Xenopus tropicalis: one gene and its partners. The protein of the gene in region 3 purifies or fractionates together with the protein of the main gene of each other region. This does not show direct contact. Links are inferred from orthologs where the notes say so. Each region holds a gene or a part of one and is shown on either strand. Other genes may lie near its edges. The genes, in order: rtel1, sumo1 and slx4.

What was found.
Region 1: the proteins of slx4 (region 3) and rtel1 purify together in Homo sapiens (affinity purification with mass spectrometry; 3 studies listed by BioGRID, with this or other methods). This does not show direct contact. The link is inferred for Xenopus tropicalis from reciprocal best matches to the Homo sapiens genes SLX4 and RTEL1.
Region 2: the proteins of slx4 (region 3) and sumo1 purify together in Homo sapiens (affinity purification with mass spectrometry; 3 studies listed by BioGRID, with this or other methods). This does not show direct contact. The link is inferred for Xenopus tropicalis from reciprocal best matches to the Homo sapiens genes SLX4 and SUMO1.

What each region holds. Positions count from the first base shown.
Region 1 is NC_030686.2:1,008,244-1,011,994, reverse strand, and holds the start of rtel1 (regulator of telomere elongation helicase 1), read right to left. Parts: upstream 2,692-3,751; 5' UTR 2,272-2,691; coding exon 2,170-2,271; intron 681-2,169; coding exon 482-680; intron 1-481. UniProt on the Homo sapiens protein: A probable ATP-dependent DNA helicase implicated in telomere-length regulation, DNA repair and the maintenance of genomic stability. Acts as an anti-recombinase to counteract toxic recombination and limit crossover during meiosis.
Region 2 is NC_030685.2:52,313,624-52,317,374, forward strand, and holds the start of sumo1 (small ubiquitin-related modifier 1 precursor), read right to left. Parts: upstream 2,473-3,751; 5' UTR 2,369-2,472; coding exon 2,357-2,368; intron 1-2,356. UniProt on the Homo sapiens protein: Ubiquitin-like protein that can be covalently attached to proteins as a monomer or a lysine-linked polymer.
Region 3 is NC_030685.2:20,676,072-20,679,822, reverse strand, and holds the start of slx4 (structure-specific endonuclease subunit SLX4), read right to left. Parts: upstream 2,444-3,751; 5' UTR 2,337-2,443; intron 1-2,336. UniProt on the Homo sapiens protein: Regulatory subunit that interacts with and increases the activity of different structure-specific endonucleases.

The DNA of each region.
Region 1 (3,751 bases), on a different chromosome or scaffold from region 3:
AATGGGGGGGGGGGGGATTCACTAACCCCAGTAGCCAAAAACTACATTTTATAATTGTCTTTCTGTTAAGTCCCTCTCCTATTCATTTACCATCGTCTCATTCAAACAGCTCCCTGGTTGCTAGGGTAATCTGAATCCTAGCAACCACAGAGCTGCTCAAACCCCAAACTGCACAGCTGCTGCAGCAAAAAGCAAAATAACTAAAAAAAATAAAAAATAAAGACCAACTGCAAATTGTCTCAGAATATCACTCTCTACATCATACTAAGAGTTAACTCAAAGGTGACCAACTCCTTTAACCCCCAACATGCTGGTACCTGTCATTATTATCTAGAGACCCCCCTGAGTGAGGCAAATCCGCCCCAGGGACTAGATGAAGCTCTGGGCTTGGGCTAAACTGTGGCCCTAAGGGGGCGAATGAGCCACACCAGCAGCACCCACTGCATCCACTCCCAGGGAGAAGCACCCTGCGTGCCAGTACCTGAGGCCTGCCCCTCCGCTGATGCACCGCCCCACGCTGCCGCCGGTCGCTCCGGGAAGAGTTCCGCGCCATTCATGCGTTCTGCGATCTTACGGGCACTGATCCCATCCTTGTAGTGCTGCCGCCAAGCCAGAGTGGCACAAAGGAGGCACAGAGTCTTCCCAGTGCCCGTGGGGCTCTCTAATACACCATTCACACCCTGGGGGCAAAGGGAAAGGAGGGCTGTAACGCCAGGCTGGCACTAGAGTAATAATGTTCCGGTACATTCAGAAATGATAGAAAAATGACCAAAGTGACTGATGGCTGAGCCACTTATACCCGCTGGGGCCCCACAGGGCAAATGGGCAGGGGAGGGTCCTACACTCTTTTGAACTATTTGGGGCTATTGATTCCATATACGCCTGCTCTATGGGCACTGCACTGTGTGGGGGTATGTGGTGGGGGGTATGTGGTGGGGGGTATGTGGTGGGGGGTATGTGTGAAACCCAACTGGCAGCCCTGGGCACAGATCCCTATTGCATAACATTATGGGGCCCCTGCCCTGTACTTTCCCTATCAGGGATCTTTGGGAAGTTTCTCTGTGAGTTTAATGTTCTATAACTCACTACCCGGGTACCCTATTCAGAATACTGCATCCCCTGATACCCCTATCCTGTTCCTTGTTGCCCCACTCCCTGCCCTCACTGAATTGTCATTAGCCCCACAGCCCCATACCCCTTGGCCCCATTAGCCCCCGCACCCCTCGGCCCCATTAGCCCCCGCACCCCTCGGCCCCATTACCCCCGCACCCCTCGGCCCCATTACCCCCGCACCCCTCGGCCCCATTACCCCCGCACCCCTCGGCCCCATTACCCCCGCACCCTCAGGCCCCATTACCCCCGCACCCCCCCGGCCCCATTACCCCGCACCCCCAGGCCCATTTACCCCCGCACCCTCAGGCCCATTACCCACCCGCATCCCCCGGCCCCATTACCCCCGCACCCCCAGCCCCATTACCCCGCACCCTCAGGCCCCATTACCCCCCACCTCAGGCCCCATTACCCCGCACCCTCAGCCCCCATTACCCCCGCACCCTCAGGCCCCATTACCCCCGCACCCTCAGGCCCCATTACCCCCGCACCCCAGGCCCCATTACCCCGCACCCTCAGGCCCCATTACCCCCGCCACCCCCGGCCCCATTACCCCGCACCCCCAGGCCCATTACCCCCGCACCCTCAGGCCCCATTACCCCCGCACCCCCCGGCCCCATTACCCCCGCACCCCCAGGCCCCATTACCCCGCACCCTCAGGCCCATTACCCCCGCACCCTCAGGCCCCATTACCCCCGCACCCCCAGGCCCATTACCCCCGCACCCCAGGCCCATTACCCCCGCACCCTCAGGCCCCATTACCCCCGCACCCCCCGGCCCATTACCCCCGCACCCCAGCCCCTTACCCCGCCACCCTCAGGCCCCATTACCCCCGCACCCCCAGGCCCCATTACCCCCGCACCCTCAGGCCCCATTACCCCCGCACCCCCAGGCCCCATTACCCCCGCACCCTCAGGCCCATTACCCCCGCACCCTCAGGCCCCATTACCCGGCCCATTACCCCGCACCCTCAGGCCCCATTACCCCCGCACCCTCAGGCCCATTACCCCGCCACCCCCAGGCCCCATTACCCCCGCACCCCTCGGCCCCATAGCGGACCTGCTGGAGGCACTGGATGACTTTGCCCATATAATCCTCCTGGCATTTATACGGCTGGAACGGGAAATCCACAGTCAGACCGGCCACCGGCACCTGAGGCATCTCCAACCTTTCCCCTCGCCGCCCGGTACCGCCTCACTTCCCGGTACCGCCTCACTTCCCGGTACCCCCTCGCTTCCCGGTAACCCCTCGCTGCCCGGTACCGCCTCGCTTCCCGGTACCGCCTCGCTTCCCGGTACCGCCTCGCTGCCCGGTAACCCCTCGCTGCCCGGTAACCCCTCGCTGCCCGGTACGCCTCGCTGCCCGGTACCGCCTCGCTTCCCGGTACCCCCTCGCTGCCCGGTAACCCCTCGCTGCCCGGTAACCCTCGCTGCCCGGTAACCCCTCGCTGCCCGGTAACCCCTCGCTGCCCGGTAACCCCTCGCCGCCCGGTACCGCCTCACTTCCGGCCTCCAGTCAAAGTTTGTGCTTCGCGCCCTTACGGCCTGACGTCATATACGTCCTCCCTGTGCGTGTGACGTGGCTGCAGCCGGACAGACTCCCTCTCCGGTTGGCTCAGACAGATAGGGACTGTCCCAGGGCGGCCGGTTGGCCGGTTTCCCGCCAGATTGGGCCCCTAATATAAAGCCCAGGCGGGTCCCACGGTAGAAGCCGCTGAGGTACAGTTGGGGTTAGGGTTTGAAGCCTTGGCGGGTTTGTAGTTTGGAAACTAATCAGAGTTTTATTTCTCTGACGTGCATGTGCATTCTGGGTAATGTAGTTTGTAGCTTACGTTTAGCCTACAGCCAAGATTAAAATAAAACTACAATACCCAGCATGCAATTATACACGGAAGCTCCCTTTTCTATTCCTCTTTGCTGAACCTGAAGCAGCAAAACTACAATAACCTGCAGGGACTGAGCACAGGGGGAAACATCACTCACATATTGGGCTACTGGGCTACTTTCTGTGTGGCTGTTGGCTAGCTGGGGGCTATTTTAGAACTGATACAGGATACCCTTCTTATTCACAGTAAGGGGGGATACAGGGTACCCTTCTTATTCACAGTAAGGGGGGATACAGGATACCCTTCTTATTCACAGTAAGGGGGGATACAGGATACCCTTCTTATTCACAGTAAGGGGGGATACAGGGTACCCTTCTTATTCACAGTAAGGGGGGATACAGGGTACCCTTCATATTCACAGTAAGGGCGGGATTACAGGGTACCCTTCTTATTCACAGTAAGGGGGATACAGGGTACCCTTCATATTCACATGTAAGGGGATACAGGATACCCTTCATATTCACAGTAAGGGGGGATACAGGATACCCTTCTTATTCACAGTAAGGGGGGATACAGGGTACCCTTCATATTCACAGTAAGGGGGGATACAGGGTACCCTTCATATTCACAGTAAGGGGGATTACAGGGTACCCTTCTTATTCACAGTAAAGGGGGATACAGGATACCCTTCTTATTCACAGTAAGGGGGATACAGGGTACCCTTCATATTCACAGTAAGGCGGGATACAGGGTACCCTTCATATTCACAGTAAGGGGGGGATTACAGGGTACCCTTCTTATTCACAGTAAGGGGGA
Region 2 (3,751 bases), about 32 Mb from region 3:
GTTGACTCAATAGTGCCCTTAAGTCTCCCCATACTTCACCTGTTCAGAAGATCAGAAGCCAAACAGGAAAAAAAAACGCTGAGCAGGGTAGAGAAGATTCCCATAATGCAACGCTCCTGCCCAGACTTGGCAACTTGGGACTGTAGGCAGCGCATGCGCACACAGCAGGAGCGTCTGGTTGCCATGGCGACGCAGCCGACAGGAGAACTCTGCTCTGTGACATTCAGACCTGGCAGGTGGGGGGAGCGGCAGAGGGTTTGTGGCAGGAGCGGGGAGCCGGGGGAGTTGATATGCAGTGATGCATCTGCATTTGTGACATGCAGAGCCGGCAGGTGGGAGGAGCGGCGGGGGGTTTGTGGCAGGAGTGGGAAGCGGCGGAGGGTTTGTGACAGGAGCAGGGGGGGGGGGGTTGTGGCAGGAGCGGGGGGGGGTTGTGGCAGGAGCAGGGGGGGGTTGTGGCAGGAGCAGGGGGGGGTTGTGGCAGGAGCAGGGGGGGGTTGTGGCAGGAGCGGGGGGGGTTGTGGCAGGAGCGGGGGGGGGTTGTGGCAGAAGCGGGGGGGGGGTTGTGGCAGAAGCGGGGGGGGGTTGTGGCAGAAGCGGGGAGCGGTGGAGGGTTTGTGGCAGGTGAGGGGATCGGAGGGGGGCTGGCTTGTGCTTTTCAGCAATAGCCCATACAGACATGCTGGACAAGATGGCGGCGCCGTTCACTGAAACAAGTATGTAAGTTCTAGTATGTGTATCTCTGTAAATATTTCATTGGGCAAGCCAGAAATATAGCGTTTTTACACAGCAATAGTAGTACTATTTAATAGTGTGCTTAATAGATTTCGACTTTCCTTGTCCTTTAAGAAGCGCATTTTCACTTACGTACCTCAAATGAAAGTGGTTTTACACACAACTAACTGCGCGGAAGTTAGAGACTGAAATTACACTTGCAGAGATAATTTAGGAGCCCTACTAACTCTTCTGCACATCTTGGAAAAGCACCCAGCAGTGAATGGAATTGCTCAATGGTGCTAGCAAAGTATTTAAATTTTTTTTCAGTAAAGCTGTACAAAAAGCAACTTTTCAGACACTATTTTAGAGGTGTATGATGAAATGGGAATACTTGTTCACACATACCCACAGACTGAGATACAAAATAACAGAGTGATATACATTTGACACAAATGCATGTACGCAATGTTGCCCTAAATGTAAGGCAATAAATACCAATAATGGGAAAAACAGCTTTCAACAGAAACATCTGCGTGCATCACTGGTATTTAATCCGTCGCACCATTGAAAGTGCACTTAATTGGGCCAGACAGAAATTTGGGGCTCCCAGTGGTCCCCATGCCCACATGAATGCGGCATCAGCAAAGTTTGAAGTGACAGGACTAGCTGGTACTGCCCAACATCACAGGGATCTAATCATTTTGGCCTGTAGTCCACTTGAATGTTTAAACCGTCACCCTTTAGGTGGCTGCATTAAAGATAAGATTGGGATCCTAAACTATGAAAGTCATGCAAGAAAACAAGATGTGCTTGAACATTACATACAATATAAACAAGCAGAGTGTACTACAAGAGATCAATCGTTAACTCCCACATACCTACACACAGCTTAACATGATACCTCCCCTGGGTAATGGGAATTACCACTACAATTAAATTAACATGTGTATACGTGTGCAGCGGTGTTTGTTTGGAAGGGTTAAACGCGATTGTTATATTTTCAACCAAACATAATAATGTATCTACAAACACTTAGTGGATGCTCATAAATAGACTTAATTTATGTACCTGATAGTTCTGAAATGCTTTGAGCTCTTCCAGGCTAACAGATTTACCCTACTGTAACAAATCAATGCTGTGTGAGACCCCATAAGGCTAAAGCTGCTGAAACTTGTTAGGTTAATATATACTTTATATAGGTCAAATAACTATATGGGCCAATATATCTCTGGCTTTCCTGTTAGGCCTCTCACTTCGCCAACCACCACTGGGCAATTACTCACAGATAATAACATCTACAGGAGAAGATACACATACTGGACAATAAGACATAAAGCAAATTACACGACACACAACGGGGTGTGGGTCCTATAGAGCAGTTTATCCAGCAAAAGTGCACAGCAGCAGAAACCCATAGCAACCAGCTCTAATAGTCTAAGTGTCGTATAAAATGAAAGTAAATGACTTAGCTGCCGCCCTTGGTTATGGGCCGCATGTACTACTTTAGCTGCATATTAATGTGTAGCCATGAGACCTACTTGTTTACATCTACAAGCAGGTCTCCAGACACACAAAACAAGACACACACGTCCCAGAGACTTTCTCTCGTTCTCCCGCCCACTCCACAAAAGTGTCTCACCTGATCAGACATGCTAACTGCTCTCGGCCGGTATCGGTTCGCTACACTGGACCGCTCTACGCTTTTCCTTCCTCCGGGCACAATAACAGCACAAGAGAACCAGACAAGGAAGGTGTTCCGGTTCTTGGGAATGACCTCATTTCCGATACATGCGGCACCGCCCACATTTTGCTGACGCGCACTGCTGCGGCTTGCGGCAAATGGTAGGGGTATGCGCTTGCACAGACGCTGAGCACTAGGTGGCGCTTTTGTGTCCATATTGTAATGCGAACGTCAGCCTTTAACCATTGATATCCAGTGTTTTTTCTGTATAGAGCATTAACCTCTCCAAAGCCGAGCATTAATAGTAGGCGTCTAATGGCTTTGGCACTGCCAGCCTCACATCATTAAAAGGCCCCGTTACATAGTAGATTGGCTTTACCTGGCTTTACGTGGCTTTTGACGTTTTAGTAGGTGATTCTTAACCTTTTTGGTTGCGTCGCATGATTGAAATTGACCACAAATGTTTATATAAACTGGTTAAATGAATGAGCCAAATTACAGACAATTGCTTATATGAAAAAAAAATTGGTTATCTTATCTTGTCAATCTGATCCCTTGAGAGCCCCTGATGCCTCTATATTAGAGGACACATTGGGAAGAGACTAAATAACAGATACCGAGGCATAGGGTGGGTGGAGAATAGACATAATTATCAAAATTGTGTGAATAAACCTTACCCGCGCTTCTAATAAATTTATGTGTAGTTCGTGAAAGACTAATATTATTCTAAAAAACAAATTAAATTACCCAACAACAATCCTCTTACCCAAATAGTGAATAGAATATCATAAATAGCCTCCTTCCTCCAAACTAATCCTCACAGTGAATATATAAATATTATAACAAGGAGTTAGCGCTAAAAAAATATACCACCAAGTGTAAAAATTCTATAATATTTTAATTAATCATTAAATCAATACAAAAAGATACAAGTCATAAGTTAAAAGATACAATAGGATATAGTGATAATCAAAAACAGTTCGTTAAAACTAAATTGTTGGCCCTATTAGTTCATTAAAAAAGTGAACTAGGATAAATGAGGATGGTACAATAAATACGTTTAGCTTTTTAAATGACTATTTATGCACGTATTTATTGTACCATCCTCATTTATCCTAGTTCACTTTTTTAATGAACTAATAGGGCCAACATTTTAGTTTTAACGAACTGTTTTTGATTATCACTATATCCTATTGTATCTTTTAACTTATGACTTGTATCTTTTTGTATTGATTTAATGATTGATTAAAATATTATAGAATTTTTACACTTGGTGGTATATTTTTTTAGCGCTAACTCCTTGTTATAATAATTATAAAAATTGAAAGTCCAATCCAGAAGTGAAATCCTGGT
Region 3 (3,751 bases):
TTATAGCTGCATGTTTCTTGGCTGATCCACTGTTTACTGAATTAATATATTTAACACTGCATATAAACTTGAAGGCTTCTAACTTTCAGAACAACCATAAATAGGTGTAAGAATGTTGTATAAGGCCTGCAGGCTGAGCCATCATTGGAAGGTCAGTTGTACAGTATGGTACACAATAGGAATAATGTCACAATTAAACAACTATTTGCAAAGTTCTGGCACTAGATGGCAGCATTAGGAGAATTACAAATTCTACAAATAAGAGCAGCATTCAGTTATATTTATTCATTCCCTATATTTATATATAGTGCCAACACAGTTCCACAGCGCTTTACAGACATATAGGTCATTCCAATCAGTATATGTAGCTGACAAAACCCACACCAACACTAGCCAATAATTTAGAAGCGACTGCTCCAACATGCACAGTTGTATTGGTGCTATTTTAGTATAAACAATTATGGTTTACCATATACCATACAGGCCTATAAAATGCTGAGGTCAGTTGAGGCTGCAATACTTCTACTCATTAGGGCTAAAGCATGGGGATCGTATGTTTAACGTTCCGTTGGGCCCTGGAGGAGGCTGGGAGCCAACCCACAAGACCCCGGGCAGCATTGTTAGATGGGAAAGCAGGCCCGCTGTGGCCCTCCAACACTGTCCAATAACAACAAAAATCTTTTAGTATAATAAGGCTATATTAGATAGATATAAGAGATATTTGGCCCATTATATGGAAAATGTTTGAAGAATGGCCTGGGTCCTAAAAGGGCTCCACTGGCACAAATAACTGTAACCTTTAAAGGGGAACTGCGGCTTCTGAACCAACATTTTTTTGAAGAGCCCCACACAACACACCTAATATACCTATCATTGTAATCTGTTCCTTTAAAAGGTATGAATAAATACCATTTTATATGCTGAAATCCAGATGCACAACAGTTTATTTTCTTTCTGCATGACTGAAATCCTGGCAGGGGAGGAGGGACTAAAACATCAACGTTACAAATTGGAACAGCATCCCTACAGTTTACAGACAGCAAGCAGGAACTACATAACCCACAATGCATTGCACTCTGATGTTTCTTCCCTTATTAAAGGAGACATATAGGATAAATGAGAAAAACCCTAATTTTGTAGGCAATTATGAATAATATACGGTGCTGGTTTCCCTTTGGGCTAAACATTAATCCTCTCTGTAACAATGGCCCCTTTATTGGAGCTCCCTATAGATCCTCTGGCTTCTCTGTCCAGTGTGAAATGAAGAGTGGGCATGTCCTAACGGTCCCTGCCAGAAGCACAGTAGGAGGGGGAGAGCCAATCACAGCCCTGCACTCCCACAAGCACAGACAGACTTCAGTTCCCTATCAGGTCAGCCTAGCTGCTGATTGGTTCCTATCCTGCAGTGCAGTGTACGGAGGGCCGCCGGTTCCCCAGCTCATCCAGAGAATTCAGCCAGCAGGAAGTGGAACAGATGGGCGGGGCTAGTGGGGTTTTTGTGGAATTTCTCAATAAATCAGTCTGAAACACAACATTTTTAAGCACAATCCTTCTATATCTAGAGGAGTATAATTCACTGGTACATTCTTAATGTTTATAGGATATGTCTCCTTTAATATAATGTGTGCAATTTGGAGGATGCAGGCTCAGGACAGTCTCAATGTAATCAGCCAGCTGAGCAGAACAAGGGGCCCGGCTTAGGTAACTGTTTAAAACCATATTTTCTAATTGATGTATATTGCAAAGTTGCCTAAAATGATGTTTACTATTCGCAAAGTTGTGTTTGGGTGGAGTTCCCCTTTAATGACTAGAAGGGGCCAATTCACTATCCCATAAAGATGGCACGGTGACAAATGGAATGAAGGGATTCAGAAAAATAAGGGATAGGGGTCATAACACAGAGGGCCCTTGCCCTTTAGCTCCTAACTACACATATTCTAACATAATATATAACACTTATCAGCATTTCTGTTCAGTCACTAACTCTGAGCAGAATTCCCAGCAGTGCAGTAAAGTAACCCCCATGCTACCTGTACCATATTGATCAGCTGTTGCTTAGTTACTGCACTGAGGCAATGCTGACCGTACATAGTGAATGAGCCCCAGTCTCTCTGTCTAGTTACAGTGAAAATAATCCTTGTGTACGAACTAACGTGATTACCCAACCATATAACACATGTCAATCATTCTCATGTCAAAAGCCCTACAGGGCCACCTAGCTGGCTACTGAATGTGCCGCTGCAGGTTACTGGGCCCCATTCCTACAGCGGAGCTGCCAGCCCGCACCCTAAGCAGGATTCCATCATTCATTCACTGCAGCCATAGGGCTCACTCACCTCAGTAACACAGCTTCACACAAGCCGCCCCGGAATTGGCGCGTCATGACGTCAACACGCTTCCGCCCAGCTGTGACCGTGGCACGACGTCTCCACAGTAACAGAAGGAACTACCGGAACTCGGCTGACGCATGAGGCGCCACGCCGGAAGTGTTGGGGATTGTAAATAAAGCGCGTCTATAGTAATGTGTAAAGTTTAGGTTTTAGGCAGCTGTTTGTAGCTCAGCTGAAGCAGTGGCATGAAATAAAAAATAAATATAAATGTTTATTGAAAAGTTGCCTAGAATCACGTTTCCTTTCATATGCAAAAAAAACTCAAAAGACTTTGTGCGGAGTCCCCCCTTTAGCACATACACAGGGTTACCATTATTGTTACAACCAGTGTGGGCTGTCACTGTGCCAATAGGTTAATGTCCCTGCGCCCTCCCTACTCATTCCTAAGGGCGGCCTAACCCCCCCTTAACTCCAACACACTCCTACAGCTGGTGTGTTTTTGGTACAGAAACCCTACTATAGTTTATATAAATACCCCGCTGTGTAGCCCCAGGGGCAGCCATTCCTGCACTGGTACAGCTGGGGTGTTTGCTACAGAAACCCTACTATAGTTTGTATAAATACCCCGCTGTGTAGCCCCGGGGGCAGCCATTCCTGCACTGGTACAGCTGGGGTGTTTGCTACAGAAACCCTACTATAGTTTATATAAATACCCCGCTGTGTAGCCCCGGGGGCAGCCATTCCTGCACTGGTACAGCTGGGGTGTTTGCTACAGAAACCCTACTATAGTTTATATAAATACCCCGCTGTGTAGCCCCAGGGGCAGCCATTCCTGCACTGGTACAGCTGGGGTGTTTGCTACAGAAACCCTACTATAGTTTATATAAATATCCCGCTGTGTAGCCCCAGGGGCAGCCATTCCTGCACTGGTACAGCTGGGGTGTTTGCTACAGAAACCCTACTATAGTTTGTATAAATACCCCGCTGTGTAGCCCCGGGGGCAGCCATTCCTGCACTGGTACAGCTGGGGTGTTTGCTACAGAAACCCTACTATAGTTTATATAAATACCCCGCTGTGTAGCCCCGGGGGCAGCCATTCCTGCACTGGTACAGCTGGGGTGTTTGCTACAGAAACCCTACTATAGTTTGTATAAATACCCCGCTGTGTAGCCCCGGGGGCAGCCATTCCTGCACTGGTACAGCTGGGGTGTTTGCTACAGAAACCCTACTATAGTTTATATAAATACCCCGCTGTGTAGCCCTGAGGGCAGCCATTCCTGCACTGGTACAGCTGGGGTGTTTGCTACAGAAACCCTACTATAGTTTGTATAAATACCCCGCTGTGTAGCCCCGGGGGCAGCCATTCCTGCACTGGTACAGCTGGGGTGTTTGCTACAGAAACCCTACTATAGTTTATATAA